4 linked regions of the Lepisosteus oculatus genome follow. The protein of the gene in region 2 purifies or fractionates together with the protein of the main gene of each other region. This does not show direct contact. Links are inferred from orthologs where the notes say so. Each region holds a gene or a part of one and is shown on either strand. Other genes may lie near its edges.

Evidence for each region.
Region 1: the proteins of NADH dehydrogenase [ubiquinone] 1 alpha subcomplex assembly factor 4-like (region 2) and ndufs8a purify together in Homo sapiens (co-immunoprecipitation; 3 studies listed by BioGRID and IntAct, with this or other methods). This does not show direct contact. The link is inferred for Lepisosteus oculatus from reciprocal best matches to the Homo sapiens genes NDUFAF4 and NDUFS8.
Region 3: the proteins of NADH dehydrogenase [ubiquinone] 1 alpha subcomplex assembly factor 4-like (region 2) and ndufaf1 purify together in Homo sapiens (co-immunoprecipitation; 3 studies listed by BioGRID and IntAct, with this or other methods). This does not show direct contact. The link is inferred for Lepisosteus oculatus from reciprocal best matches to the Homo sapiens genes NDUFAF4 and NDUFAF1.
Region 4: the proteins of NADH dehydrogenase [ubiquinone] 1 alpha subcomplex assembly factor 4-like (region 2) and timmdc1 purify together in Homo sapiens (affinity purification with mass spectrometry; 3 studies listed by BioGRID and IntAct, with this or other methods). This does not show direct contact. The link is inferred for Lepisosteus oculatus from reciprocal best matches to the Homo sapiens genes NDUFAF4 and TIMMDC1.

What each region holds. Positions count from the first base shown.
Region 1 is NC_090701.1:42,437,905-42,444,836, reverse strand, and holds the start of ndufs8a (NADH:ubiquinone oxidoreductase core subunit S8a), read right to left. Parts: upstream 3,009-6,932; 5' UTR 2,935-3,008; intron 1,448-2,934; 5' UTR 1,446-1,447; coding exon 1,400-1,445; intron 1,168-1,399; coding exon 1,102-1,167; intron 948-1,101; coding exon 858-947; intron 374-857; coding exon 201-373; intron 1-200. Other genes in the region: red-sensitive opsin, read left to right, coding at 6,838-6,914.
Region 2 is NC_090697.1:6,378,077-6,385,444, forward strand, and holds the start of NADH dehydrogenase [ubiquinone] 1 alpha subcomplex assembly factor 4-like, read left to right. Parts: upstream 1-4,347; 5' UTR 4,348-4,410; coding exon 4,411-4,546; intron 4,547-5,750; coding exon 5,751-5,845; intron 5,846-7,223; coding exon 7,224-7,368. Other genes in the region: ndufaf4 (NADH dehydrogenase [ubiquinone] 1 alpha subcomplex assembly factor 4), read left to right, coding at 310-378, 982-1,293. UniProt on the Homo sapiens protein: Involved in the assembly of mitochondrial NADH:ubiquinone oxidoreductase complex (complex I). May be involved in cell proliferation and survival of hormone-dependent tumor cells. May be a regulator of breast tumor cell invasion.
Region 3 is NC_090703.1:20,233,972-20,241,815, forward strand, and holds the start of ndufaf1 (complex I intermediate-associated protein 30, mitochondrial), read right to left. Parts: upstream 3,016-7,844; 5' UTR 2,923-3,015; intron 2,593-2,922; exon of another isoform or gene 2,486-2,592; intron 1,676-2,485; 5' UTR 1,591-1,675; coding exon 1,102-1,590; intron 643-1,101; coding exon 457-642; intron 92-456; coding exon 17-91; intron 1-16. Other genes in the region: RNA polymerase-associated protein RTF1 homolog, read left to right, coding at 3,137-3,220. UniProt on the Homo sapiens protein: As part of the MCIA complex, involved in the assembly of the mitochondrial complex I.
Region 4 is NC_090710.1:18,098,627-18,106,574, forward strand, and holds the start of timmdc1 (complex I assembly factor TIMMDC1, mitochondrial), read left to right. Parts: upstream 1-4,928; 5' UTR 4,929-4,943; coding exon 4,944-4,964; intron 4,965-6,145; exon of another isoform or gene 6,146-6,160; coding exon of another isoform or gene 6,161-6,181; intron 6,182-7,832; coding exon 7,833-7,948.

The sequences.
Region 1 (6,932 bases), on a different chromosome or scaffold from region 2:
TGCACTGAGAGAGAGGGGTTAATACAGTACAGACACACTGACTGGACACTACAGGACATTAACACTGCACTGAGAGAGAGGGGTTAATACAGTCCAGACACACTGACTGGACACTACAGGACATTAACACTGCACTGAGAGAGAGGGGTTAATACAGTACAAGATTAACACATTGATTGACTACACACTATGAACAGTACCTGGGCTGGACAGATGGCCTCACATAGTTTGCAGGCAATGCAGCGTTCCTCTCCTGAGGGGTACCGGCGCAAGGCGTGCTCACCACGGAACCTTGGGCTGAGTGGACCCTTCTCAAATGGGTAATTTATAGTGGCTGGCTCCCGGAACAAGTAACTGAGAGTCATTGCTAACCCTAAGACAGAAACAGAGGTTAATACAGCACAGACACACTGACTGGACACTCCAGTACATTAACACTGCACTGAGAGAGAGGGGTTAATACAGTCCAGACACCCTGACTGGACACAACAGGACATTAACACTGCACTGAGAGAGAGGGGTTAATACAGTCCAGACACACTGACTGGACACTCCAGTACATTAACACTGCTCTGAGAGAGAGGGGTTAATACAGTCCAGACACACTGATTGGACACTACAGGACATTAACACTGCACTGAGAGAGAGGGGTTAATACAGTCCAGACACACTGATTGGACACTACAGGACATTAACACTGCACTGAGAGAGAGGGGTTAATACAGTCCAGACACACTGACTGGACACTACAGGACATTAACACTGCACTGAGAGAGAGGGGTTAATACAGTCCAGACACACTGACTGGACACTCCAGGACATTAACACTGCACTGAGAGGGAAAGTGGGGCTCTCACCTCTAAAGAGCTCTGTCCACAACAAGGTCTGAGCAGCTTTGTCTGTGATTGACTTCATGTCTGTGGGCAGCTCCTGAGCGTTGACATACTCTAGAGAGACAAATGTGCAAGCACTCACATTCCGATCTCAAGAGTGACAGAGGGACATGGATATCGACAAGCTTATATACTGTACACACAGCCAATGAAGTACAGGTACAGAGCTCAGGAAATAAGACTTAGAAGACTTAGGAAGGGTACTCACTGTATCCCTCTCTGTGAACAGACAGGCTGAAGGGACGCACCAGCATGGGACAGACAGACACCCTGCCTAAATAAGGGAAAAACAATAACAGTAAACTTACAAGAAAATAATAACAGACAAACCTACCAATCAAGTGCATACACCTGTCCACTTGTGACCTGTCCACCTGTGAGTTTACCTGTCCGTCTCTCTATCGGTGGACCTGTCCACCTGTGAGTTTACCTGTCTGTCGGACCTGTCTCGTTATCGATCACTGCCTCTCCGTCAGTCTGTTGAGAGGAGTGTGAGTCAGTCTTACCTGCCCGAGAGGCTGAGTACAGCACACGCAGAGCTGCAGACATCATGTCTAGAACAGAAACAGGAGACCCCATCAACAACTCAGCCTCTCTGTACTATACCGGCCCACATTCACACACACACAGCCTCTCTGTACTATACCGGCCCACATTCACACACACACAGCCTCTCTGTACTATACCGGCACACACTCACACACAGCCTCTCTGTACTATACCGGCACACACTCACACTCAGCCTCTCTGTACTATACCGACACACATTCACACACACACAGCCTCTCTGTACTATACCGGCACACACTCACACACACAGCCTCTCTGTACTATACCGACACACATTCACACACACACAGCCTCTCTGTACTATACCGACACACACTCACACACAGTCTCTCTGTACTATACCGGCACACACTCACACACAGCCTCTCTGTACTATACCGACACACATTCACACACACACAGCCTCTCTGTACTATACCGACACACACTCACACACAGCCTCTCTGTACTATACCGACACACACTCACACACAGTCTCTCTGTACTATACCGGCCCACATTCACACACACACAGCCTCTCTGTACTATACCGACACACACTCACACACAGCCTCTCTGTACTATACCGGCACACACTCACACACACACTCACACACAGCCTCTCTGTACTATACCGGCACACACTCACACACAGCCTCTCTGTACTATACCGGCACACACACACAGCCTCTCTGTACTATACCGGCACACACTCACACACACAGCCTCTCTGTACTATACCGGCACACAATCACACACACAGCCTCTCTGTACTATACCGGCACACAATCACACACAGCCTCTCTGTACTATACCGGCACACACTCACACTCAGCCTCTCTGTACTATACCGGCACACAATCACACACAGCCTCTCTGTACTATACCGGCACACACTCACACACAGCCTCTCTGTACTATACCGGCACACACTCACACACACAGCCTCTCTGTACTATACCGGCACACACTCACACACAGCCTCTCTGTACTATACCGGCACACAATCACACACACAGTCTCTCTGTACTATACCGGCACACAATCACACACACAGTCTCTCTGTACTATACCGGCACACACTCACACACACAGCCTCTCTGTACTATACCGGCACACAATCACACACACAGTCTCTCTGTACTATACCGGCACACACTCACACACGGTTGCCTTGCTGATCATAATTCATATTTCGGATAGAGATATCAGTAGAAAACCCGATAGAATGAACTTTCAGAAAACTAAAAGCTGAAAGCAGTGACAGGCAGAACATTGACATTGCTGCAGAGCACTCAAGGACTGTTCAATGACTCACAGCGCATCTGCCGGTTATGTCACTAAAAACACCGAGCTGCGGTATTTTCCAAAGCCGTTTCCTGAGCTCTTCGACATGCATAAGTCGCATAATTTTTTTGTCAGGGAGATTCAAACGGTCAGATTTGAGTGTTAAAAGGTATAAAATTGCAAAAGCGTCAACAAAGTCACCAACCTGTCGCTATTTGGCCTCCTCAACCAGAACAGCGGACATTACCGGAAGTTCTCGCCAGAACGGAAGAAGTAATTGGACAGGGCGATGGCGGCCGTCAGCGGTGTCCGCCATTTTGGGTGTGTCAAAATGCCGACGTAAGGTAGAATACATTTTCTTTGGAGAATCATTCCCACTGTATTAGCTTAAGTAGTTCGAAAAAGGACTAAAGTGAGTGTGGTGAATGCCTGCTGTTGAAAAGAAACCTAAGACTCAATCTTGAGTCAAAACAACTTTTTGTTACAGAATTGTTATAGAAAGGCACATTTATTTTGTTGCACTTTTTGTCTTCATAACATCATGAAACAGGTTAAAAATTAGAGGAGGCCATTATTCCTATCCATTGAGCCATTTTTTCTATTTAATTTAGGTTATTGGCTTCAACAATGTAATTGGACAGTTTGTTCCACACTCCCTCAACCCTTAGTGTAAAGAACCAGTTGTTTCTTGAAAGAAGTCAGGGTATCGGTTTCAACAACATGGCTCGGCCACTTGTTTCACACCCCCACCACCCCCTGTGTAAAGAGGAGACTGTGTGTTTTAGGGTCCCATCATAGTCTTCTCTATTCAATACTGAAGATAATCAATTCCTTCAGACTGTCAGAGTAGAACATTCCTTCAATCCACAGAACGTCACTACTCGTCTCTGTGCTGATCCCCAGAAGCAGTGCCTCTCCTACACCGTGGTGAACACAATTGCCACAGGAACCTTGGACCTGGGTTCTGTTGCTCACCATCACAGTAATTATTACCCCTGCGCTTTCCAGGGACGAAAGGTGACTGCAGGCAATAGCAGACACTGACTGCTGTTTGTTAGCAACTAAGCTAATGAAATGAACATTTTGCTGATTATGAAATCCCAAAGCATTCACCTCGTACATTTCTTTATTAGTACCTCAGAGATCAGTTCCCCCTCTATCTCAGTCTCTGTATTAACCCCTCTCTCTCAGTGCAGTGTTAATGTACTGTAGTGTCCAGTCAGTGTGTCTGTACTGTACTAACCCCTCTCCCTCAGTGCAGTGTTAATGTCCTGTAGTGTCCAGTCAGTGTGTCTGGACTGTATTAACCCCTCTCTCTCAGTGCAGTGTTAATGTCCTGTAGTGTCCAGTCAGCGTGTCTGGACTGTATTAACCCCTCTCTCTCAGTGCAGTGTTAATGTACTGGAGTGTCCAGTCAGTGTGTCTGTACTGTATTAACCCCTCTCTTTCAGTGCAGTGTTAATGTCCTGTAGTGTCCAGTCAGTGTGTCTGGACTGTATTAACCCCTCTCTCTCAGTGCAGTGTTAATGTCCTGTAGTGTCCAGTCAGTGTCTGTACTGTTTTAACACACACAGTGAAATACTGGAATTCTGATTGGGGCAGATAGTGAGGAGATGGTCTTTGTGAATCCAGAATTCTGTGTAACTCAGTGTAATTAACACTTGATTATTACCTGAGAATGACGCATGAGTGACGTTTCCTGGCACGTCAGCCCCTGTGGTTAAATCTCGGCTAACGAAGCAGGAGTGTTTTAATTAAAGTGTGCAGAGGCGTTCTGAGGGCTGCTATGCTGGAGTGAATTGTGACAGGAAGATCCTGGATGCAGAATCTGTAAGATATTATTTCTGTTGTTATATCCAGTGTTGGGAGAACTGTGAGCAGCCTTGTAGTAATATCATCACTAAAAGTGGTACATGCTGCTGAAGCAGGAGTAATTTACTCAGCTGAGTATCAGCAATAGTAATAATACTAGTTTTTATTTATAAAGCTCCTTTCCAAACCCAAGGGCACTGTACATAGTGATAAAGAAAAAGACAAAAAACAGTCAAATGAAAAAAATAAAGAAGAACATACAGTTTCATACAGACAGGTTTTAAGGCAATCAGACAGGCCCTAGGTGAGATGGGGTTTGAGTCTGGATTTGAAGAGTCAGAGCAGAGAATTTGTCTGCGCTGTAGAACTGCATTCTACTGTATTCCACTGGAGCAGCGACAGAAAAGGCAGGGTCAGAAGTCCAAGATTTAATCTCGGGAGCAGTGATCAAGGATCAGACCAAACTGGACAGAGCCTATGGCAGGGAGTGCAAACATGGAGAAATTCGGAGATGTATGATACAGCCAGATCATTCAGAGCTGCATAAGTCAGTAACAGGATCTTCTGTTGAATACGTGACTTTATAGGCAACCAATGTAGAGACGTGAGTGTAGTAGTGAAATGCTGCCAGGGTCTGGTTTGAGCTGGTAGTCTAGCTGCAGTTTTGGTCATGTTGCAGTTTGTTGAGAAGAGTGTTAGGAGTAAAGAATTGGAGTTGATATTATAGATGCATGAATCGGGCAGTCAGCATCAGACACTGATAGAAATCGCCTAATGCGGGCCATATTTCTAATGTGAAAGGAAGATGTCTTTATTAGATTTTTCACATGAGGCTCAAAGGTCAGGAGAGGATCAAGTGAGACTCCCAGATTCTGGACTAGGGCTGTTGCCTGCGTGGAGAAGCCTTCTGCCATTACTGTGAAGCTCTCCGGCTTTTCCAGCTGACATTCGCTGCCCACCAGTAAAATTGGTTTTGTCACTATTTTGCTTCAGGGAATTTGAACGTCCACCAGAGTTTGATGTTACAGGGAGGAGAGTTAAGTGACGGAGAGAGTGGATCAGAGGGGGGAGAAGTATTCATGTCAATCTGAGCATCACACGCTTAACAGCGAAACTGAAGACTACGTTTGTGTATCAGCTGACCGAGAGGAAGCTTATCAATCTATTATCTACTAACAGTCAGAAGGGCTTCATGGCTTGAGGAGGGTTTACTCTTGTTTGTGGCCTTACCTATGTTCACAACAAAACTCCTCTGTGATTCGTTTCTTGTTGGTGTTGTTGTGTAGTTTTGGTAAAGCCTTTGTATGGAATACTGTATAGAGCTGTGGTCAGGATGCTGAGACAAGGGCATCTGTGTCTGAAAGAAATGTCATATCAGCTCAGCTTTCAGGTACTGAGTAAAACTAGTCTTTACAGACCCAGGACACTGTCAGTAAGAGTAGGGGTGTTGACCCCAGAGTCCTGAGTGCTGCTCATTACAGACCCAGGACACTGTCAGTGAGAGTAGGGGTGTTGACCCCAGTGTCCTGACTGCTGGTCATTACAGACCCAGGACACTGTCAGTGAGAGTAGGGGTGTTGACCCCAGTGTCCTGACTGCTGGTCATTACAGACCCAGGACACTGTCAGTGAGAGTAGGGGTGTTGACCCCAGTGTCCTGACTGCTGGTCATTACAGACCCAGGACACTGTCAGTGAGAGTAGGGGTGTTGACCCCAGTGTCCTGACTGCTGGTCATTACAGACCCAGGACACTGTCAGTGAGAGTAGGGGTGTTGACCCCAGTGTCCTGACTGCTGGTCATTACAGACCCAGGACACTGTCAGTGAGAGTAGGGGTGTTGACCCCAGTGTCCTGACTGCTGGTCATTACAGACCCAGGACACTGTCAGTGAGAGTAGGGGTGTTGACCCCAGAGTCCTGAGTGCTGATCATTACAGACCCAGGACACTGTCAGTGAGAGTAGGGGTGTTGACCCCAGTGTCCCGACTGCTGGTCGTTACAGACCCAGGACACTGTCAGTGAGAGTAGGGGTGTTGACCCCAGTGTCCTGACTGCTGGTCATTACAGACCCAGGACACTGTCAGTGAGAGTAGGGGTGTTGACCCCAGTGTCCTGACTGCTGGCCATGATAGATGTGTAGGTGCCACTGAACTTGAATTGGGCTCTGTTTCAGGTCTGTTTCTGTGTGTCAGCCCATGTGTCTCTCTCTGAGAGGACGTCTATTCATCTCTGCGTCTGTTTGACATTCAGTCTCTCCCTCCATCATGCCTCATGATTTCCTGTCCTCTCGCTGCCAGGTGAGGGGGATGTCCTGCCCTACTGTTGTCAATCAATCAGCCAATGTGTCAGGCTCAGCAGGGTTCGGAGTTCAAAGGTCAGTGCTAGCAGCCGC
Region 2 (7,368 bases):
AATTTATACAATATGGTTGCTCAAAGTTCTCATAATCTATAGTATGGTTTCAGTACAAAAATGAGGGGGGAATTGATATCAGAAAATAAATCGTCAAAAATAGAGTCTCGGAGGTTTATTTCTGGATATAATAAGTTCGCTGCCTGGTTTTACTCGCATTTAACTCATCCGTGGACACAAGAGTGACCTCTTCCATGCACGGGTATTCAATGTTGGTTTTGTTTGTTCCTTGTCACTTTCCGTAGAAAGTTCGGCTGTCTGACCATAATGTTTCACGGAGTGCGATAAAATTGTATTACGAAGTGAAATATGGGGTCGCTTGTTTTATGTGCGTTCAGAAATTTTAAACTGGAAAACTGTGCTCACAAACCTTCAGCGGCGCCTTGACCAAAGGCATTATACAGCAAATAAAAGAAATTCGAAAAACATCAGTGAGCAATTTGGCATTGACGAGGTTGTGTAACGTGTAGTGCATTAAATGGGTTACACAGACACAAGCGATGTTTTTTCATAGACAATTGTGATATTTTATCTCATGTACTATGCTTAAATAATGTTTCTTGTCGTACATACAGTCTTTTGATAGCCACTGTATGTATCACATGCTGCATAAATAGTTAATTCATGTTTGCCTTCTACCACCTTGAGGTTAAGAATACTTAATATTATTCTACTGGGTACAGGAACACTGATCTCTGACTGACTAATCTGCATTTTTGGAGAAGGCATACAGTAATATGTGTGGGACATGCAGCAGAGACGTGTTTTTCTGCTTATTTTTCCTCATTATATTCTTGTGGCCATAACCTTGCTCATGAGATGATTCTCTTGTTCATGTTTGTGTATGTTGTTTTCTGTGTTTTCTATATTGTCTGCTGCTGTAAACAATTGCCCATTCGGAATACTAAAGACATTTATTCCCTCGCACTTATTTTCCTCTTTCTTACATGTTGTAAACTTCTGGTGTTTCAATTCTTGCAGAACCCGATGAAGACAAAAATTCCAAGTAAAAATGAAGAGGAGTGCAGGCCTTGCAAATCCCGTGTAGTGGGAAACCCCTATGGCATTTTGGACATTAAAGACATCCCAAAAGGAAAACTGTCCATTGTGGAGGCCTTGACCGTCCTCAACAACTACAAACACTCTCCTAAATCTTGGACACCTAATAAAATAGCCCAAGAGTACTCTTTAGACTTAAAGGATACCAAGGCACTTCTGGAATTCTTCATTCTCTTTGATGTTAAAATTATACCACCAAAGACTGAAGACAAGAAGCAGATAAAAGCTAACTAACAGTCTTCATCACTGATCTGTTTTAGAAATATTAATGTAATCATCCTGGACATTTGTACAACATTGCTCAGGCTACAAGATGCAGTTCCTTGATTGGTTTTAAACGAGATTAGATAAAAATGATTAAGGAATAAAAACAATGTTGTAAAGATTCATTTTATATTTCATTTTATATCTGCCATTCTTGTATTGTAAAAGTGCTTGTATTTTTTGTGGTTGAATTAAACTTCATTATGTGTTGCTTTGTATAAGAAGTAATCCATATTTTAATATTGAATTAGTAAATAGCCACGAGCAACATATATACACAGGCTCTCGTCTTTTATTGGTTCATCTTTAGTCTCTTCTCGTCGATCCCAGATCAATTGAAACTGAATCTTTTATTCCCAAAGGCTTGTAAATGGAATTATTTAAACAGGTAGGCAAACAAACTTAATACATCAGAAGTCAGAAAAAAATATAAAATGCATCTTTTGCTATATTGAAATTAAATCTTATAAACTAGCACTGCTAGTTACACAAACCATTTTGAACATTTATTTTCTGAAGTGGTCTCTGCAGGTTTGGTGCTGTATGAAAAAAGCATGCTACGAAAGCTGCTACCTTATAGAAAGTTGCTATTATGTTATTGTTTTATATTAATTTCTGCAGTAGTTAAACATTTGCATTTTACAATGCCAAGATGATATGACCACAGGGTAAACTGGGAAAATATAGTACAGAAATTGTAAACAAACTGTCCTTGTAAATCAGATTTTTGTCCTATAGGCCTCTGATATTTGATATTTCTGTCAATTAGCAAGTAATCTTTTCTTTTCATAATACTGCTTGAAGAATGGTGTTGACTGTGACTTAACATATTCATCACAGGAGCATTGTCATCTAATTTTGAGGTGTGGCTCAATAATAATTCACATTCTTTCTCGTTATTTGCTGCCGCCTTCTGGTAACGCCTATTAACACCACTTGAAAGTTAGTGCTGAATACAGTGACCGTAGTGATAAACTCTACCAAAAAAGTGTTTGAACTCACGGGGACAGTGGGTCTGTAAAAATATATTTTTTTATTTAATTAAAAAAAACATTTTTTTATTTAGTCAACAGCTGCACTATTTCCTTTTATTGATCTACACCAAACAGCGAATTATTTCATTTCTGTTTTATATGGTTATTGGTTTGCTAAGCCAATTTGTGAGATCTGTGTTCACTAGCCTAAAAATCGAATTTAAACAATCTTAAAAGACAGACACATCCCCTAAACTAATAAAATACATTAACTGGCTTCCAGGAAAATTCTCCCGGTGTGAGTGTGTGTGCCCTGTGATGGACTGTCGCGTCCGTCCGGGATATATCCCTCTGTGCGCCCTTTGGAAAGGCTCTGGCTGCCCTTGCCCTGCTACCCTGAATTGGAAGAAGCTGGGAGCGAAAATAATTCTATATCTTTTTCTTATGGCCCAATATTTTATTTTTTCAAGATCCCCCCCCCCTCAAGTTACATATATTTGAAGTAAAAAAAAATATTTCACTTGAAATCGTTCCTCATTATTTTCAGTGCATCCATCTATCCATTTTCTAACCGTTTCATCCAAATACAGGGTCGCAGACACAGACATGCAACACACTCACGCCGGAGTATATGAGTATGTCTTTGGACTGTGGGAGGAAACCCACGTCGTGATCATGGGGACAGGGTGCAAACGCCATGCAGCATCTCAGCAATTTAACCCAGGGCCCCACCGTAGCGAGACAGCAATGCTAATGTACTGCACAGAGGAAACGCCCTACACAGTCATTTACAATTAAAATATATGTGCAAACGAATAGTTGCCGTTTACAATTGACAAACCTGCGGTGTCCCGAATCCTATCAATCGGTGATATTCTGAAATATTGTTTACCTTACAGATTATAATGTTGCATTTTATCGTTACTTATTAGCAGCTTAACAAACATCTGTTAGGTATAGTATTTCAATTTATACAATATGGTTGCTCAGAGTTCTCATAGTCTATAGTGTGGTTTCAGTGGAATTACAAGAATGGTAATAATAATAAACCTTATTTTATATAGCGCCTTTAAAGGTGGCTTATCAAAGCGCTTTACAGAATGACAACGACAATAAATTAAAAGAATACACAAGATAAAACACAATTACAATATACAGAGGAGACCGTGGATGGGGTAGTAGGAAAAGCAGAGGGGTGAAGAATGGAACCAGTTAAGTAAATGCTCTTCTAAAGAAGAAGGTTTTGAGTCTGGATTTGAAGGAGTTCAGAGAAGGTGACTCTCTGGTATCCTTGCGCAGAGAGTTCCAGAGCTTGTTGGCATAACAGGAGAAGGCCCTGTCGCCCATACAATGTAGACGGGCTTGGGGGACAGTAAGGAGGGCAGAATTTGAAGAGCGAAGGTTCTGATGTGGGGAGTAGGGCTATAATAGTTTAGACAGGTACTGAGGTGCCAAGCCATGCAGAGCCTTATAGGCGAGCATGAGGATTTTAAGGTCCACACGGAATTTGACAGGAAGCCAGTGCAAGGACCCCGGGATAGGAGTAATGTGATCACTTGCACTATACCTCGTCAGGATTCTGGCTGCCAAATATTAGACAAACTGGAGTTTGTTCAATGTGGAGTTAGATACCCCAGAAAGTCGAGCATTACAGCAGTCAATTCGAGAGAACACAAATGTGTTGATCAGCTTTTCACCCACAGTTAGTGACAGCACAGGGCGTAGTCTAGCGATATTTCTGAGGTGAAAAAAAGATGTTTTGACAATATGCTGCACATGTGGGTCGAATGTTAAGCCAGAATCGAATATCACCTCAAGGTTTTTCAATTTAGACAGAAGCTCAAGTACAGACCCATCTACGAATGAGGAGGCTATTGATATAAAAGAATAAATCGTGAAATACAGAGTCTCGGATGTTTATTTCTGGATATATTAAATTCGCTGCCTGATCTTACTCGCATTGAACTCATCCGCTGTGACACAAGAGTGACGTCTTTTATGCACTGGTTTTCAAGGTTGGTTGTGTTTGTTCCTTGTCCCTTTCCGTAGAAAGTTCGGCTGTCTGACCATAACGTTTCACGGAGTGCGATAAAATTGTATTATGAAGTGAAATATGGGGTCGCGTGTTTCACGTGCGTTCAGAAATTTTAATCTGGAAAACCGGGCTCACAAGGAGATAAGCAAATCCAAACCTTCAGCGGCGCCTCATCACCCTTTGACTAAAGGCATCATACAGCAAATTAAAGAAAGTAAGTCGAAAAACACCAGTGAGCAATTTGTCATTGACGAGGTTGTGTAACGTGTAGTGCATTGAATGAGTTACACAGACACACGCGATGCTTTTTCATAGATAATTGTGATATTTTATCTTATGTACTCTACTTAAATCATGTTCCTTGTTTAACATTTAACCTATTTAATGTAACGATATTTATTCTTGAAATATCAACATCATGTCAGTGACATTGAAGTCTTAGTAAATTTATTGAATATGCCAAGAATTACCAGTAAATTCGATGACCATTTCCCTTACTAGAGTATCGATTTAGATTTGTTAAGCTTTTTGCGACATCGTTAAACTGAAACAAGAAGAATTTTAAGTCAAGGGGTTTTATGTAAACTGAGCTGTGACCTTGTACTTAAGAATGCAGTATAAATGTGTGATTAATATTTAAATTTTAAAGTATTTTGAAAGGAAAATATTTTAACATTAACTAGGTCCACTTCCTGCAGTTGTACTTAACTAAACGAAATTTTAAACGAGGTATTCATCTCATACATGGTATAATTGTACATGGGGCTGCACTTGATGTACTGTTTTTTAATTGTTTTTATATTGGTTGGTCAATTCTGTAATTACCTGAACATTTGGGATGTTTTCCATGGGGGTAACCTAAAGAATATACTTAAGGGAAGTTCTGTCTTCACATTTCTGTAAAAAGAAGCAAAATGAGTTAAGGCTCTTTTTTCTTGTACCTGTTCTAACAAGGGCAGTATATTTTGTGCAGTGGTTAAAACTGCTGCCTCGCAACACAGGGGCCCTGGGTTCAATTCTGGATCTGGGGTGCTGTCTGTGTAGAGTTTGCATGTTCCCCCCCGTGGGTTTCCCAAGGATTTCCTTCCACAGTCCCAAAACATATTGGTTGGTTAATTGGCATCTGGGAAAGTTGGCCCTGGTGTGTGGGTGTGACCAGGATATGTCAGATTTTGAAAGCGTAAAGGAAAAAGCATATTTCCAAAACCCTCATCTATGTCTAAGGCTTCTGTTTCGCAAAGCTGTAGCAAAGCATAGCAGATGGTAAGTGCAGCACTTCACTTTATAGTTTGGTAAATCTATTGTGTTACAGGTGTGAAATAATGTCGACTCTAGAGAATAAACGTCAGCTTTAAAGACAAGAGAATTCTAGAAAATAAAACCTACTTAATTGTTTTCTTTCTCACTTGTTGATATAGATCCTGAGGCTACTGAATCCATCAATAAGAAGAATGAGCATCTTTTGTCATTACTAAAGACAGTATATGTGGAGTCAAAAGACCCTCCCCAACAGGTAAGAACAGTTTTGCTGGAATGCTTATCCCAATGTGAAACAAAGCCCTGTTCACTTTTCCCAGACAAAATATAGCCAGGAGCTCACAGTCTCCCTTGATTAATTAACTCTTGATTCCCATTTTCCCCCAATTTATTCAACCCATATGAATAATGTATTATTAATAATAAATAATTGCTTACACTTTTATAGCACTTTTCTGAACACCGCACTCAAAGCACTTTAAAGTTAATTGGGATCCCGTCCACCACCACCAGTGTGCAGCCCCACCTGGACAGCAGCCATAGTTCACCAGTACACTCCCCATGCACCAGCTCTCAGTGGGGAGGAGAACAGAGTGATGAAGCCAATTTATAGATGGGGATTATTAGGAGGTTATGATTGGTCAGGGGCAATGGTAAATTTGGCCAGGACACCGGGGTTACACCCCTACTCGATTCGAGAAACACCCTGGGATTTTTAATGACCACCGAGAGTCAGGACCTCAGTTTTATGTCTCATCCGAAAGGACGGCTTCTTTTTACAGTATAGTGTCCCCATCACTATACTGGGGCATTAGGACCCACACAGACTGTAGGGAGAGCACCCCCTACAGGCACCACTAACACCTCTTACAGCAGCAGCCTTAGTTTGCCTCCCATCCAGGTGCTGACCAGGCTCACACTTGCTGAGCTTCAATGGGCTGACAGCTGTGAGTTGCAGGGTGATATAGTTGCTGGAATAATAGTATTGTCACTTTCAAAAGTATTCTCCCCCTTGATTTTTTAGATTTTGTTGCAATAAGAAATCAATGGGATTTTTTGCCATTTATTGACACAAAACATTATAATTTCAAAGTGAAAACAAAATTCTACAGCTCTGCCTATATTAATTTAAAAAATAAAACAGAAAATAACTGATTCCAGCAGTATTCACCCCCCTTGAAATCAAATAATATTTGTTAGAGGCACATTTGGCAGAAATTACAGCTGCGAGTCCTTATTTGATAGCCAGTGTACAGTATGTATCACTTCAATTGTTTATTAATGTTTGCCTTCAGCCACTTTGAGGTTAAGAATACGAAATATTATTGTACTGGGTAGAGGATCACTGATTTCTGAGTAACTAATCTGCATATATCATAATATATGTGGTACATGCAGAAGAGGTCTGAGTGATATTCTGCTTATTTTTCCTTATTATTATCTTGTGGCCATAACCTTGCTTATGAGATGATTCTCTAGTTCATGTTTATGTGTGGTGTTTGTTTTCTGTGTTTTCTATATTGTCTATATTTTCGATATAGAAAAAATGCCCATTGGGATTACTAAAGACATTCATTCCCTCTTTTTCTCCTCTTTCTTACATGTTGTAAATTCTTGTGTTTCAATTCTTGCAGAACCCGATGAAGACAAAAATTCCAAGTAAAAATGAAGAGGAGTGCAGGCCTTGCAAATCCCGTGTAGTGGGAAACCCCTATGGCATTTTGGACATTAAAGACATCCCAAAAGGAAAACTGTCCATTGTGGAGGCCTTGACCGTCC
Region 3 (7,844 bases), on a different chromosome or scaffold from region 2:
ACAGTGACATTCTCACCTTATCTAACCACAGTGGGTGCTGATTGTCTTGTATTCTTCCCCGGCTCGAGAGAAAAAACTTTGAAAATGGAATCTGGAAAGGAAACCAGTTCATTAAACTTGTAGAAAGGACTGAATGTACATAATGATTTTTATTCCCTTAAGAAAGTCTTGATCCCAGTTCTGTACCTATAGTTATGGTCCAATTAAACCAATAATGAGTCTGATTTAGGTTAAGAGCCCAGCTAGAGTGAAACATACTAGTACTAGAGCACCAGGATTAAGGACCCCTACCTTAAGGCTTTGTGCAAGTCACAAGCTAATGAAGTATATATGAAAAGAGTGAATTAATTTTTAAAAAGCTTGACTGAACAAATCCAGGTATAGAATTTAACTCCTCCACTAACAAATGGAAATGAGACCAAATGATTGTAATCCTCTGAGATGTGTGCGTCTTACCTTGACATCCTGCCAGAAGGGTCCGCCGCGTGTGAACAGGAAGTAGTTGTACATGTCATCTCTCTGGTGGGAGAAGTAGGTCTCGGTAGCAATGTTAATCATCCACGGCCGCCCGTCTCCGCGGATGCGCAGGTGCAGAGTATTAAAACTGGACCAGTCGTGGTGCTTCTTCCGATCAAAGGCATTCTACAGGGAAATATTTTTACCAGCATTACTAGGCAAACATTGCAATCCTGTCTCTTGCCAACGTGTCATTTAGGAAATTAACTTGGGCCTGTCTTGGGGGAACTCTATCTACCTCTCTTGAATAATTAAAATCTCATTTTTAATATATTCCAATAGCCTAGTCTGCCATATTTGCAGTTCAGAATATAGTGTAAATACCATGAAAACACTACTTAAGAAGTAGAGGAACTGATAGTAATTAAGATCATAATACGGAGTCTATGGCCAGTGCTAATGGCATTAAATGCCAAGGACTGTAGTGCCCTGAGAAGTCTAGAGAGGAGATAATACAAATACCTTTGTATTTTAACTGATAACTATTACCAACTCCCAAATCAATCAAAACATTGATGTAAATTCCCATAACGGCAGTGTGGCCAGACATTGCCCTTGACTACCAGACTGCTTGTGTGTACTGACCAGTGGCTGTCTGGAGCGCAGAGTGCAGTAGCCGCTGTACCGTGTCTCCCCATCTCTGGGAGGCGCTGTATACAGAGTGCCATACAGCAGGCAGGTTTGGTTGTTTCTCCCCAGCTTCAGGTATGCTTCACTCTTCCCTCCGATCTCCTGGTCCGAGGACACTACCCACTGTTCCAGGCTCTCTGGACCCCTGAATTCCCATAACAACTTTGTCTGTTCCAGCATATGCTCCCTGAGGCTCCTCCCCTCCGGCCCCACCCAGCGCTCCACCATCTCCTGCTTCAGCAGCCCAAAATGCTTCTTCACGCCCTCCACCCCCTTGGGGAAGCTAAAGCGGATCTTCTTCCAAGGCGGCGTGTTGTCCTGAGGCTGGCCTGGTCTCCGATAGCTCTGTGCAGCCCCTCGCGTAGACACTACGCCCCAACACGGGGGCGTGAGCCTGGAGCCCAGGCGACACGCACCGAGCCGGGTCGATGTGGACAGAGCCATCGTCCGTCAAGCGAGTCCGTCTACACTGTTGCAGCCGGCTTCCCTGCAGCACGGGCTGCAGCTCTACATGTGCTGAAACACCGATCTAAAGAGGGGAAAAAATGAAAAATGCTCCGGCATCCCTAATCCCTGATGTCCTGCACACCACTGCAAGGGCCTTATGATTCTACCGGAGAGCATGATGAAGCCTAACGTACTAGTAGCAGCACGGAAGCAGGAGAAGTGATGAGTGCAGTCTTACTATGTTCTCCAGTGCACGAATAATTCGACTGTTGGCTTTCTCTATACTTTTAGAGAAAAATAAATGGCGATAAAATATATATTTTTTTAAAAAAATAGGGAATTCTATTACTTATGTTATTGTACTGCATTCGAGAAGATGAAAAAAAAGAGTCTGAACAAATGTCATAATGTGCATGTCTGCTACCATTATTTCTACATATTAGTTTCAGGTTTTACTACATCAATGTAACAGCAAATGCACCTTTTGGCCTCGGAAAGCAGACTTGAATTGAAATGAATCGGCGCACGTCCAAAAAGTTTTAAGATGTGGCTCATCCCCGTTTACCTGCACTAGAGTGTGGAGAATAGAGCTGGAACTATGTATACTTCACAATCCGACGTTTACAATTAATAAGGATTTGTCCAAAGTCTAATTTATGTCTATGTGAAGTAAGTTTCTGGAGTGTCCAAAAAAGCGATATATAAGTATAAGCAATTATTATTAAGTGATCTTTCCTGAATAAAACTGGCGTCTTTTAACTGAAATGATCCCCTTAAACTTCGTTCTGTATGCACGTTACGCAAATTGTCTTGTAAATTAACCTAAAACCTTCAGGTAAAGATGAAAAAATATAGATACCAAAAATAAACAGCCCTCTTTCCATATACTTACACTATGAAAAATATGCTACCTTGATAAACGTGCCTCCACTATACTTGCAGCTTGTTTTTCAAGTACAGTCCGTCGCGACAACTCGTCCCCCGGTAACATTTTGCAAGCACATTGAGTTCCTAAGCCTATAACTACTGTTACGAACTACTACTAGTGAATCTGAGATTACATCTATATATTGACTAATAATTGCACTCCTTAATAAGTGGTCAAATGTAACAACATGCGATAGGCTCCAGTCATATCCAGTATCACAGTGTCACTTCTATAAAAACAATTTCATTTAAATTAAAAAGTAACACCGTATTATTACATATCTACTGTACTAACTAAAATACGTATTTAAAGAGGTATCAAGAATTCACATGAGTCAGTCAATCAACAAGTAATATTCTTTAACATCTGCTTTAGAAAGTATTATTTTATAACATTCCTACCTGGAAAGACCTTCTCAGTCTGTCCTACTGATCACGATCGCGTATCACACGTCACGGGTGACGTCTTACGACAGGTCCCAGCGAATGAAGCGTGAGATCGCAGGCGCCCGCATGCGCAGTGGAGCTCCAGCGCCTTTGTGTGCTGCAGAGGGGGCGCCTCTCGGCTCGTCTTTATCCCGACGCAGCGCCAGGCAGCTCCGGCCTCACAGCAATCATGGTGAACGTGAAGAAGCGGAAAGGACGGGTCGTGATTGACTCCGACTCCGAAGACAGCGCTAGTGACGATAACCTGGATCAAGTAAGAACCTCTTTGTCCTCTGCTCTGCGCCTTTTGGGTTCGATCAGTTCTGGAGACAGAAACCCATCGCGCCACAGGCCCTCTTGCATCCTCGGATTCAGCTGGGTCTGTGCAACCGAGTCTAGTGTGCACGAAGTCGCCAAGACTTCTTGGTGTTACCCTAGCGCAGACACCTAGTTTTAAAATAAAAGACCAAAAGCATGGGCCATCACGGCCGGAATCCGTGTGAAATGCTCTTTTATTATTGGCAGAATTAATTTCGGACGGGATGCGCACGAAATTAACGAAAACAGTAGTAAGAGGTTTGATCTGTAGAAAGCGTGAGTGTCGCAGTGTAAATATGGACACCGAAAGCCATGGATATGGAGACATTCAGCTTGCAAAAAGCTCAGGTTTGCGTGTGCTGGAATTAGTGTTTATGACGGCGCTGAAAGTAGCTTGTATAGGAAGCGGAACCAGGTCAGTAATAGGAATTTGTTGGCAGTAGAGGAATGAAGATTGTTTCGCACCTTCAAGCCGAGATTCTGAGCTCGGATTGACGGTCATGGGGTTGCTGCCGGCTTGCTTGGTCCAAAGACGGGCAGTTTTGGTTAGTTGCTCTGTTAAAAAAAAACCCGTGCATGCGGATTTTCACTTGGGTGTTTACTGTGCTGAAAACAACCGGTCCAAATAAAGCATTTGGCGGGCTGTTGGAACAGTTAGCGGAGGCTCGGAATAACTGCTTTTCGGTGTTAGGCTGCCTTGTAGCGTGCTGGGACAGCAGCAATGCTAAGCATCAGTTTGTTGGGCGTTCTGATGTAGTGCAACATGCATTGAGGGCTTTTCATCTGCAGCCAATCAAATGATGTGATAAACCCGAGTTTCTAACATTTGATGCATTTATTACGAGCTCGGAGTGCCTTAAGACAGCAGTGCACGAACCCGGGCAAGCAGCAGCGGTAGGCGCCAGGTGTGCAGGTCACTGTACAGGAGGCAAGTTCACAGCGCTTGCCCGCTGCTGCTCCAACTTTCGCTTCGCCTGCTGCGAGCTTCTGTAGTCTTGATGTTCCGGGCGTGAGAGGATGCGGGAAGTTTTTTTTTTAATTCCCCAGTGTTTTGGCATGAGAAATCAGTGGTGCTGAATTTCTTAAGGGAAGCAAGAACGCTAGTGCATAGCGATGCATGTTTTTTTGTGAAACGTAAATCGTGAAAAAGTTTACTGCCTTTTTTTTGTAATTGTTCAACCTGTACAACTGCACGCTGGTTTTCCTCTTTGCTTTTAATACTCGTTGTAAGTTAGTCATCATTGCACTGTGTTACAAGGAACACATTCTGCGCTACTTTGAATTCTGATTTATGTCGTACTGTCCTTTGCCACTTCTGAACGTTGTGAGCATCACCTTGAAAAAAATGGGCCTATAATGGGAAAGCAGAAAGCTCGCTGAATTCAGGGGCTGTTACTTTTTTAATCGCATAAAGCTGGAAAAAGTCTGTGGGTATCTGTGGTTAAATTAACGTAATTTTCGATTGCAAGCCTCTGCCTTATATTCAGCAAACAGCAAAGAACTGGTTGGTAAATTAATCTTTAAAATGTACCCATGTCTGAACATTTCTTTCAGGCAGGCTACAGTCTGTTTTTCTTTTAAAAAAAGTTTACCTTCCCAGAAGTGTTTCCTTCTATCTTCATGTATTTGGTGGTAGTTCATGTTAATGCAGATAAGACATTTGGTATTGTAGTGTACCTTGTAGATGTAACCACCTGCTCAAAATCAACAGTTCTCCTTGTATTGAAACGGAATTCGTTTTTGCTTATGTCTGTGGTGCCCGGTTTTACCTTAAAAGAGCAGATTTTTTGTGTGCTTCTTTTTAGTGTAGAGTTGTGTGTGTATATATATATAAGAGGATTTGCTTTAGAATTTGTCCATAGTATTACGGTAGTACGGAGGTGAAAATAAATTCTGGAAACAGTAGTAGAAACAAGCATCTAAAATCTAAAACACCCACCCCCCCGCAGCAGGAGAGGCACTCCTTACTCATGGGCACAGCAGGGACTTCGAACCCTGGACACAAGTTCAGAGTCAGATCTCTGCTCTGCATCACATAGTAACTGAATAGAACTCAACACAATTGTTCTGGGATTTATGAATGGTGCCTCTGTAAACTTTATGGATGGTAGTTAACTATTATTATTGTTATCAACAGTGAGTGGGAGTTCATCTTTAACTTACCACAAGATTGTCAGGAACTCAGGCAGGGTGGCGATGGCCCCGTTCTTTACAGCTGACCCCTGTGGGGATACCAGTTTGCTCTGACAGGGACTTCCTGCCAGATATATTTCCATCTGGCTTAGCATGCATCACAGAGCCACAAGCAGCAGAGGGACATCTTGGGCAGAAGAGTCTAGCAGGTAAGCCTTTGGCCTCATAACTGTCAGGCTGTGGGTTCGAGTCCCTATTGCAGACACTGCTGTTGTAGCTTGAGTGAGGTACTATACCCAAGTTGCCCTAGTCCACACAGCTGTATCTGTGGGGGGGGGATCTACATTGCTGAGGGTGGTGAACTGCTGTCCTGATGCAGAACCCAGGATGGGCTGTGGCCCGACGAGCTGGTGGCTCTGGAATGGACTGAAATCATGCCAAACACAAGAAGAATGCTCTGTTGATTCAACAGCTCGTATGTAGTTTAACATACAATGCTGTAAAAAATTGCTTTGGCTCGTATCTCACGTAAGGAATGGGCTAGCACCACTGTTAAGCTAGTGGAAGAACTGGAAAGTTTAGTGTGAGCAGTCATGACATGTTCAGAAAGTACGTAAAGCAGAGTTCAGTCAAGCTGTGTCATTACACTGTATTTCCAAACAATAGGTTTGTGGAAGTAAAAATGAACCCTGGTCAGGATGCCACACACAACCACACACTCACAGCAGCTAATTAACCTATCAGTATGTGTTGGGACAGTGGAAACGAGGGGAAACGTGAACATAAGGAAAGCTCCACACAGATAGCACCCAGGTCTGGAATTCAACCAAGGGCCTCAGCACTGTGAGGCAACAGTGCTCAGCACTGTGACACCTGAGGCACAAACCACAACAGTGAAATAGTTATTCTATATATTGTGTTGAATTTAAATTGTGATTTTTGTGAAAAATTGTAAAATGCACCAGTATGGCCTAATTTGGTGTCAATTTTTGGTCACCACATGATAAAAAAAAAGGAGCTTTGTAATAGGTCCCGAAAAGTGCAACGTTTTGGTCTGGAGGGTGAAGGAACTGAGCGATTGAATGGTAAAGATGTCAGGGAGACTAGATTTTAGTATCAAAATCATCAAGAGCATCATCAGCTCAGCAGACGTCTTCGATGGATTTCTTTGCAATATATGACAAAAATGATCCAGAAGACAAAAGTAGAAACTATGTGGAAGTGCATTTAAAATCGCGAGCAGGAGAACCCTTCTTTACACAAAAAGTTGTAGGGGTCTGGAACGAGTGCCCATCCGTGTTCTTGAAGCCGATACTCTGGCTCTGAGATGAGATCCTGGGATTGATTAGCTCTTGGCAACCAGAAAAGCTAGATGGGGCAAATGGCCTGTTTTCTTTTGCATCTGGTGTCTTCAGACTGTGTGTTCAGACACCTGAAAAAGTCAATATGGGTTTTGAATATTTTAAAGATGTCCCCCGACATGTTATTAAGTAGTCTTAACATTGGCGTTGAATAAGGCAAGTGGAGAACATAAGGATATAGTATATTTTATGGATGAGAGGTGAAGCTGACCTGACTGTCAGCACAGCGATACTGAGAGTATCGTGTAGTATCCTATACCTAAAGTGGTGCAGTATAGGGTAGTAATGTCAAAACAGTTTCAAAAATACTTCTGTAGTTGGCAGTGAAAGGTCTGTGACAGGGAGTTCACAAACCCCTAACAACACTAGAGCAGGGCCACGCCTCTTCTGTCCCCTTCCAGTCTGCCCCGTCACACAGTTTTGCTGCGACCTGCAACTTGTAATTATTGAAGTGGTAATTAGCGAGATCAATAGAGCAGGTCAGAAGCTGGTCGCAAGCAAAGTACTGCAGTGGAGCTGACTGGAAGGGCTGCAGATTGAGTAGCTCTGTTCTAGACTTTGTTAAATTTATTAGATTACAGACTGGCTGAGTGATGGGGGTGTACAGCAGTTTGTCTCAGCACAGGATTGTTAGTTAAATTCGTACCTCTTATTTCATTCAGCCAGCAGTGAGGCGTAGTGCATTTGTATTGACCGCTCCCGAGCTGTGGGAGCATTAAGGACCCACTAGCTGAGCGAGAGGCAGCTGTGACGCAGGAGAGCCTCTAGCAGTGTGCTGGCAGCGAACAGCTGGGCAGTGCTGTGTGTCACAGGAACCGGGCACAGTGGGGCACGGGCACAGAGAGTGTGTGGCTGAAGCAGGCCGGGGCAACTGAGCGTGTTGCTGGCGGATCCAGGTTCAAAACCCGAACCAAGCGAAGGTTCGGAACTGAGGAGACACTGTAGCGAAGCACAAGGGCGAATCCGGGGGTCGTGATAGAGTATCGCGAAGGATGGCGAGGGTGTGATCTGGAAAAGCAGTCGGGAGACAAAGCAGAACACGGGAATAAAGACCGAGGCGGTGCTCAGGGGCTGCGTTTGTGAACT
Region 4 (7,948 bases), on a different chromosome or scaffold from region 2:
TACTATGAGCTTCCAAGGGTCCTGATGATTTCATAGCAGTATTTGTTTTTTAAATGTGTTTTTAATGCCTGCCGTCATTCAATCAAGAATGTGTTAATTCTTTACGTGAGTACATGAAGCCCAACTGAGACCACCAAACTCTTTCTCCTGCTCATAATTGAATTCAAAGTCACTGATCTTATATGCTGGTTAGCCAGCTATACAAAAATATGTTCTGCTCCTGTCCCCGCTAGGTGGGATTGCAAATTTAGCCGTGAATGTCACTTTAATCTCAAAGTTTCTTTTATTCCATTTTTACATTTTGTTTTTGGTCTGAGCCGATTGCTCTATATGAGGGTAGGGCGTCTCCCATAAGCTCCTGTGAAGAGTTTTTGATCAAATGCAGAGCAGCTCAGCCAGAACCACATACTACGAGAACAATTTCAGGCCCTGAGAACACTGGCAAAAGTTAGTACATTCCAAATCTGAGAAGGGTATAACAGAACCACTAGTGTGGAAATTGTGATTCCTGGAGATTTGTTATGATAAACTTTACCAAGATTGTGTAAAACCATGTTGTAATCAAACAGACTACCAGAGATAAATACAGTACAACAGCCCTGACTTAACCCCTCTTGTGCTGGTATTATTAAACCAGTTCTTCTGCCAGACAGACGTTTACTCTTTTCTCTTTGCATTAAATGTTGTAAAAGAAATTAAGAACATTAACCACTAGTTGAAAGAAGATTACATTGATTATTTTTTAATATTTTTTTTTAATTATTATTTTTATTTAACTGAAGATTAAAGTGGTGTTTTAGTCTGGTGACATAGCTAAGAGACAAGATATTGTTACATACAGTAAGATACTTAGGTTGATTAATAAAATGATACATCTCAGTATTCATGTTTTATGAGTATTTTCATATTTATGTTTTAAGTACTTTAAGTGCATATATTTCCCATCTGTTTCTATGGGGTTTCCAGTTTTCTAGGGAGTAATTTTTTAAATATTTTAGTTTTTATGTGTTTTCCATCTAGCCATCTATCCCGGCAACCAACTGGCCCAAGGCAGGGTACCCCTTGGATGGGACGTTTGTCTATCATAGAGCAGACACACAGACACAAACGCACACTCATACCTAGGGCCAATTTTCCTACAAAGACAATTAACCTACCAGTTTGTTGTAGGACTGTAGGAGGAAACCAGAGTACCCAGGGGAAATCCAGGCAAACATGGGGAAAACATACAAACTCCATGCAGTTGGCAGGTCCCTTTCACTGTCCATTCTGAATAAATATGCAAGGTTATCTTTGTCAGTATATTCTGTCATTTAATGTTATGTATTCTAGCAGACTGTTTGCCATTTTAATTCCTTTCTCACATTGTGTAGAAGATGTAAATAATGTCTCAGAAGACACCTGTATGCAACTTTTTCATAGGTTACCTCTTCTTTCGCAGTGTTTCCAATTTTGTATTAAAAACTTATTTTTCTTTACTGGATGTAAAATCCCACACTTGTCTTCATTAAGCATTATTTTCCAGTTGTGTTCCCAATCTTTACATTTTATTTAAACCTTTTGGAATTTAATTTGCAGGTTTTACAGTGTTTGCCAAACCTCCTTAAGTGGTATCATCTACAAATAATTGATCATTGATATAAATTAAGAAGCGTAGTGGTCCTAGTACAGATTCCTGTGGTACTCCATTACGTCACCCCATGTTGTGTTTTCACACTAATGTATATCCTCTGTTTTTTTATTTAATAACGAATTTTCAATCCAAACACTAGTGTGTCTCCAAGTGTCATTGCATCAACTGAGCACTTGCAATTTAAGAGTTAATTTTTAATGAGGAACTTAAAAAAAAAAACTTCTGGAAATCTAAGTACACTGCATCATATACTCAGTTGGAGCTAAATTTGCAGTGCTTCAAATTTATTTATCATTCTTTACTGATTTCATATCTATCCCATTACATTTTACTTCTCATAAATTTGGTCTCATTCCTTCTAAGTCACCTTTCTAGATATTATAAATTTACAGTCTCAAAATATACCTCAAAGCACAATGATCACAGTTCCCTCATGGTTCTCTCATTTCTTTTGCACATAAATTCTTCAATTCGTTATGTGGTGTGGCCTGAGCCTAACCTGTGTATCATGCAGCAGAAATGTGTTAATGTGTCATACATGACTTTAATTGCTTTGAAAATGAATTATAGCACAGCTTTGCAAAAGCAGCAAGGTGCTGCAAGGTGCTGGTTTTGAGAAATCAGGGCCCAGATTTCTAACCAGGCTCTGGTTAATATTAGCATCCGAAATCATCCGGCACCAGCTCGCCTGCTGAGCGAGTGTCTGAAGAGATGTATGTTGCACTGTGAGGATGAGTATCCTAGACCTGGGAGATGAGGTTTAATTTGACAGGCTCATCTGAAAGGTGTTTAATCACCATTGCTGCCATAGTCCAGCATCACACGTCATCCTGATCACAGGACTGCCTACCTGTTAGCAATTTTTACAGCCCTGTTATCCTGTAGACATGAGGTGGGCGAAGCGATCTTCCAACCTTACATACTGTACTAAACTCCCTGCATCTCCTCCTTCTCATTCTGCAGGTGTCAGTCTTGGCATTATCGTATGAATAAACGCATTACAAGAGCAACGAATGCTACTGGTGCTAATGCTCATTTATTGCATTTTAATGCCTCTGGGTATAAATTTGTGTATTGCTGCACATGGTACAACATCAGTTCCTGACACTGGCACACATAGATCAGCTCAGCAATCAATATAGAATTCCATTTATCACTGTCTGGAAGGATCCCATAAAGATAATATACTGGCTAAGTTAGTTCCAGGCTCCCATGATCCTTTTGTTTAAAGAAAGGACCCCTGGGGCATATAGTAACTCTGAGCTGACCTACTGTAGCTACTGCCTTTTGGGATTTGGAATACAGCATAATCTTTTCTGTTCCAGGCAAAAAGTCTGACTCCCTTAATTTGTCTGCGCATGAGACTGCCTTCAGTAAAAAGTTAGTTTGGTTGCTCTCTTTTTTACTGCTCTAGAACAGCAATGTCTTGATGAGTGGTGACCGGAGTATACACTGTACTCCAAGTGAAGTCTAATGCATTGTATAATTTAACCTGACACCCCATCGATTCAAATAATACATTCTTCCTATATCAAAGTTTTGTTGGCCATTTTATCGTTTCTCCAAAGTGCCTAGCTGAAAAAAAAAAAAAGTTAACCTAAACGATCTTGCTCGGGATTTCTTCTTCCAGTTCGGTGCCACCTGTCAGAAACTTGAATTTTGTGTTTATAGTCATGCATGTATTAACATACTTTTATCCATTCAGCAGCACAAAATGAATGACAAACTTTTATTTCATGTCTGTTTTATCCTCATTCTCTTTTCAAGGCGTTATTTTGACTTTCCACGATTTTCATCGATTTACCTCAAACTAGGTCACTCGCTCTCGCGTCTTAAGCTCATTTTATATCCCTGTAGTTTCGTCCTCCAACAATAGGTGGCGATCTAATTATTTTCTGCTTCATATCGCGGAAACTTTCTCTTTAATTCTGACAACAAGCTTTGACATTGTGGGTTTCCCCGAGAAGCTGTTCTGGATAAGGTATAAATGTGCTTGAGAACGTTATGTCTGAATACATTCGTTAAAGTGTATCTGATTAAAGTTTAAAATCAATTTTCTTAATATCAGCGAATATGAGCCGTAGATGTGATGCGACTTAAGTGGTGTATAATATTTTTGTCGCTGTATAAATGTTATTTCAGGTACACAGATAAGTAGGTCGCTCTTTTCACACACATGCTTTAGCTTTCTAAAGTCCATTGTATTTGCTTCCGATTATTTTAAAGATAATTAAGCTCTTGCACCGGTAGCATCGCCTGTTCTTAAATTCCTTTCTGAAATGTATGCTAGTGGAACAGCTAATATCAGTATTATTAATTTTATACGTTCATAAATACTATTTCTATGGTGAAAATGAAAATTTATGCAACCTGTACATTGAGCTATAGTAGCATTTTTGTCATAATTGTAAAATGTATTACTAGTATAACCTTGAATTTTAAGTGGCCTGACCTTGACTTCCAAGTGTGTTTGCGTCTATATTATTAATTTGATTGAATACAGAAATACGTCTTACATTCTGCAGTATATTGAATTGAAATTTGATTACAGCCATTGCTTGAATTTTAGCCTATCTGTGGTGTACAGGTGATGCAAATTGAAGGTGTCTCATACAGTTGTGTTAGAAATATAAACAGACTAACGCAAAACAAACTTTTAGATGATGGGAAATTTTCTCAACTTTGAAGCACGATATTTCTCAGATAAGGTATTGCAGTGTTGTATGTTAATATTTTACAGTTTTGTTTTTTGATTGCTTTACTGCATATTGATAAGGTAACAAAATGAACTTGAATACATGTTACATTTGCTGGTGGGGAAAAATGATAGTAACAAAAATTAATGATGCACAGGTGCATTTCAGTAATATACAAGTACATTATTAACCGGTTTCTGTCTCAGCTGCTGATAAATACATTACAAATGATAAACTTTCTGGAAGAAATACATTTGTTTTACTTATTTTTAAATCCCGGAAGGGTAAGAATTAAAGTTTAAAAACATTCCAGAAGTATTTTGCTTTACAACACCAGAAGTCCAATTTCTAAAATATTTGGTGTATTTCAATATTTGTTTGTAGTCTTTCATAACAAATTAGAGTTACACACATTAGTTATATTGCGCTACAGAGTTTCATCTGTAGTGAAAACACAGATTTTAAGTTTGGGAGAGAGAAAAGGGTTCTGAGAAATAAGGCTGAGAAAGCGATGATCTTATGTTTTAGTTCAGAAGAATGTTGTTTTAGAACAGTATAAATATTAAACGAGCAATAACAATAAGCCAGTGACAGGGTTGGAATGTCCTCGGACCATGTCACAGAACAACTTCCAGGTGAGTGGGATAAGGCCTAACTCTTAGAGAGGTGAGTGTCTCCCAGGCAGGAGCTGTCCTGAAGTGGGTCAATACTGTATGTACAGTAAACCTCTTTGGGATGAAAAGCACAATGTCAGTTCCCGTTCAAGTTGTGAGGTGGCTTTGTGGCGTTTGTGACTCATGGTTTTGTTTGTGAACACCTGCCTCTCGGTGTAAAGAGATTGTGAACCAGCCAGCCCGTCCAACTAGTCCTGATATTTTTAATAAGAATCAAATGCAAATCACTGCACTCATGCGCAGGTGATTGAAATACCAGACCCACACCATTCTCAGCGGGAAAAATAAAGACGCTTAAGGGTATCCTCCTATCCGTCTGTGCTGGGTAACATTACTGCAGGAGCTTATTAAGAAACGTATTTGTCGTGAAGGGCTGTCTCATACCTTCACCTGACCTCCCAAGAGAGGAGGTCTTTCACACCTGTGGATACTGTACTGTGCACACATTTATTCATGTGTAGGTTACTCACCTGTGCATCTTGTCCATGCCATCCTGGAACTCACTGGGAGACGGGGACAGTATTGTTAGCATGACGCTGGAGCGGGGAGCTGAGTCAGCTGGCTTGGGCTGCAAAGGAACCAGGAAAGGTCAATTTAATACTGTGAAGTTGAAAGTAGAAACCGGTTGTCTGTCCAGCCTTCTTTTTTCTACTTTGCACAGTGGATGTAACCTTTACTTGTTCCTAAGCATTATTACCTTATTCATAATTCTTATATTGACATTATTGTTATTTTGAATTGTTTCTTGTTGTCTTTTCATATACATGCTTCCTAAGTTTATGTATTAACTGTTGTTGTGGATCCACAATCAGTCCGTATTGTTGTGTTTGTTGTTGTCCTGTCCATTGCACTGTTCCATGTTGGGTTACGGACCCCCAACCCACCTCTGGTTTTAAATAGGTTTTCAGCTATCCATCAGGGGGAGGTACTTAACCGGGCACGCACAGATTCACAGTCAGTGATAGTTTAGTTCTAGTCAAAAGTGTGACTTCAACCTTAAGCAAGCACACCTTGTCTTTGTGCTGTTCCCCAGCTCAGTTTTTCATAAAGCCTGTTAGCAGTGCTAATAGTTTGGCTATTACCTACGTTTCTCCTGTTTTTCTCACTTTTGTAAATATTTTTCTGCAGTGGAACACATTTGTGCACTATGACTGTGGATGCCCCTGTCCTGCAAGGGGGTAGGTTAGTCACATTTACAGGTATTATTCATTCACCTTAATGGGTCCCATATAAAGCGGTTCTTAAGAGATCTTTTATTTGTCCTATTACACGAGCTTCTTAATAAATCCTTAGACGTTTCATATGTACATTTGTATACACATACCTTAATCCTTAATACACAAACATCAACTAGGCATCCTTAATCCACAAATGCTGCAGTGAGTGATGATGCCCTCCTTCAGGAGTTTATGTTCAGGATTTTAAAGAGCCATGTGGTACTTCAATAAAACTGACTGGAAGATAATCCTCCTAAGTGCTTCCCTTCAGATGCACCCCTCAAACAATCCAGCGTTCTACTTAATGGGTCCCATATAATTATTTACATAATTAGATCATTTAAACCTCATCAGAAATGTTAACAGAACTTCTAATTAGGTTTGGCCAAATCAGCATGGGGTGCATTTTTATTCCAGCCATCAGCATAGCTAGGCCACCCAACAAGGAGACCATTGACAGAAAGGCTTGTTAACATCTGTGACACATTAGGATGGACTGTATCCTATGGTTAGAGAGTGTGAGGAGCACAGACGTGCTGTAGGTTAAATAAATCTTTTGCTTACACTGACAAAAACTCAAACAGCAGCTTTAATGAAATATATAAGATGTACAAGCAAAAGCTACGTTTAGCCTTGTTGTGAAACAGGAATGATTCCATGTTGGTAAGATGGAACAAAAAAAAGTTTTTTCTTGGTTCTCCAGCTCAAATGGGAGTGATATTATAAAAGGCTATTTACTTCGAGTCTTATTCCATCAGCCGTCTGGTTGTGCTCAGTTTGTGCTTTTTTTCCCTAAACCCACCACCATCCCCCCCAACTTTGGACTTTTTTTCTCACTGTCTTTTTTTTTCTGATTAGACAAAAACAAATTCTTACATTCACTAAAACGAATTAAAACACGAGAGAAAAGATTAATTCAATAACTTCCTACTGATATTCTTAACATCCATGCCATTCAAGTTTGTCTCTAATGGGCCTCAAACATTCCTATACTCAATAAGTTTCCCCTGTACTGTAAATTATATGAAATCTTTTCAAATTTAACTTGTGATACAGCCACTTTAATCCATTCTTTGTATGACGGTCCTTTACTGTCCACCCATTTTCGCAGTATTATTTTTTAGCAGTAATACAGAGTCAAGAAAGTATTTTTATACTGAATTGCTGCTTTAACCTTTGATAAATCACCAAGGATACATGTAATGGGAGTAAGTGGAATTGAGATATTTAGGTACCTGAGAGCTTTCCCCACTGTGGAGGTTCGAGCTTGAACATTAATTACATTTTCAAGCTGCATGACATCCCTGAAATTTTCAGCCTTAAAAAAAACATCAGAAATGTAGGCTGACAACAGTTTGACATAGGCCCAGGGGCTCTGCTTGCCTTGAACACAGAACTTGGTGAAAGCCTGGGCGGCCCAGTGGAACATTTTTGAGCAGCAGTATTTATAATCTGCATGAGATGTCAAGTATTCATTTTAGAGTTAACGTGCAGCTTGCTATGCTGGTTGAGAGATGGCAGTGGAAGTGTTGTGGGAGTTATCTGCAGCTGTATGTTTCCAAAAGGCATAAAAAAAGAAGCTCTTTCATTGTGGCTCCTAACTGTGTTACAGGCAGACTGGGGCTGCTGCGGTGCGATGGATCGCCAAGGGCTCCCAGCGAGCATGTCCGCATGTCCTCGACTTGACAAGCCTCCGCGGGGCTCCTCCTACTCCACACTCTTCTGGGG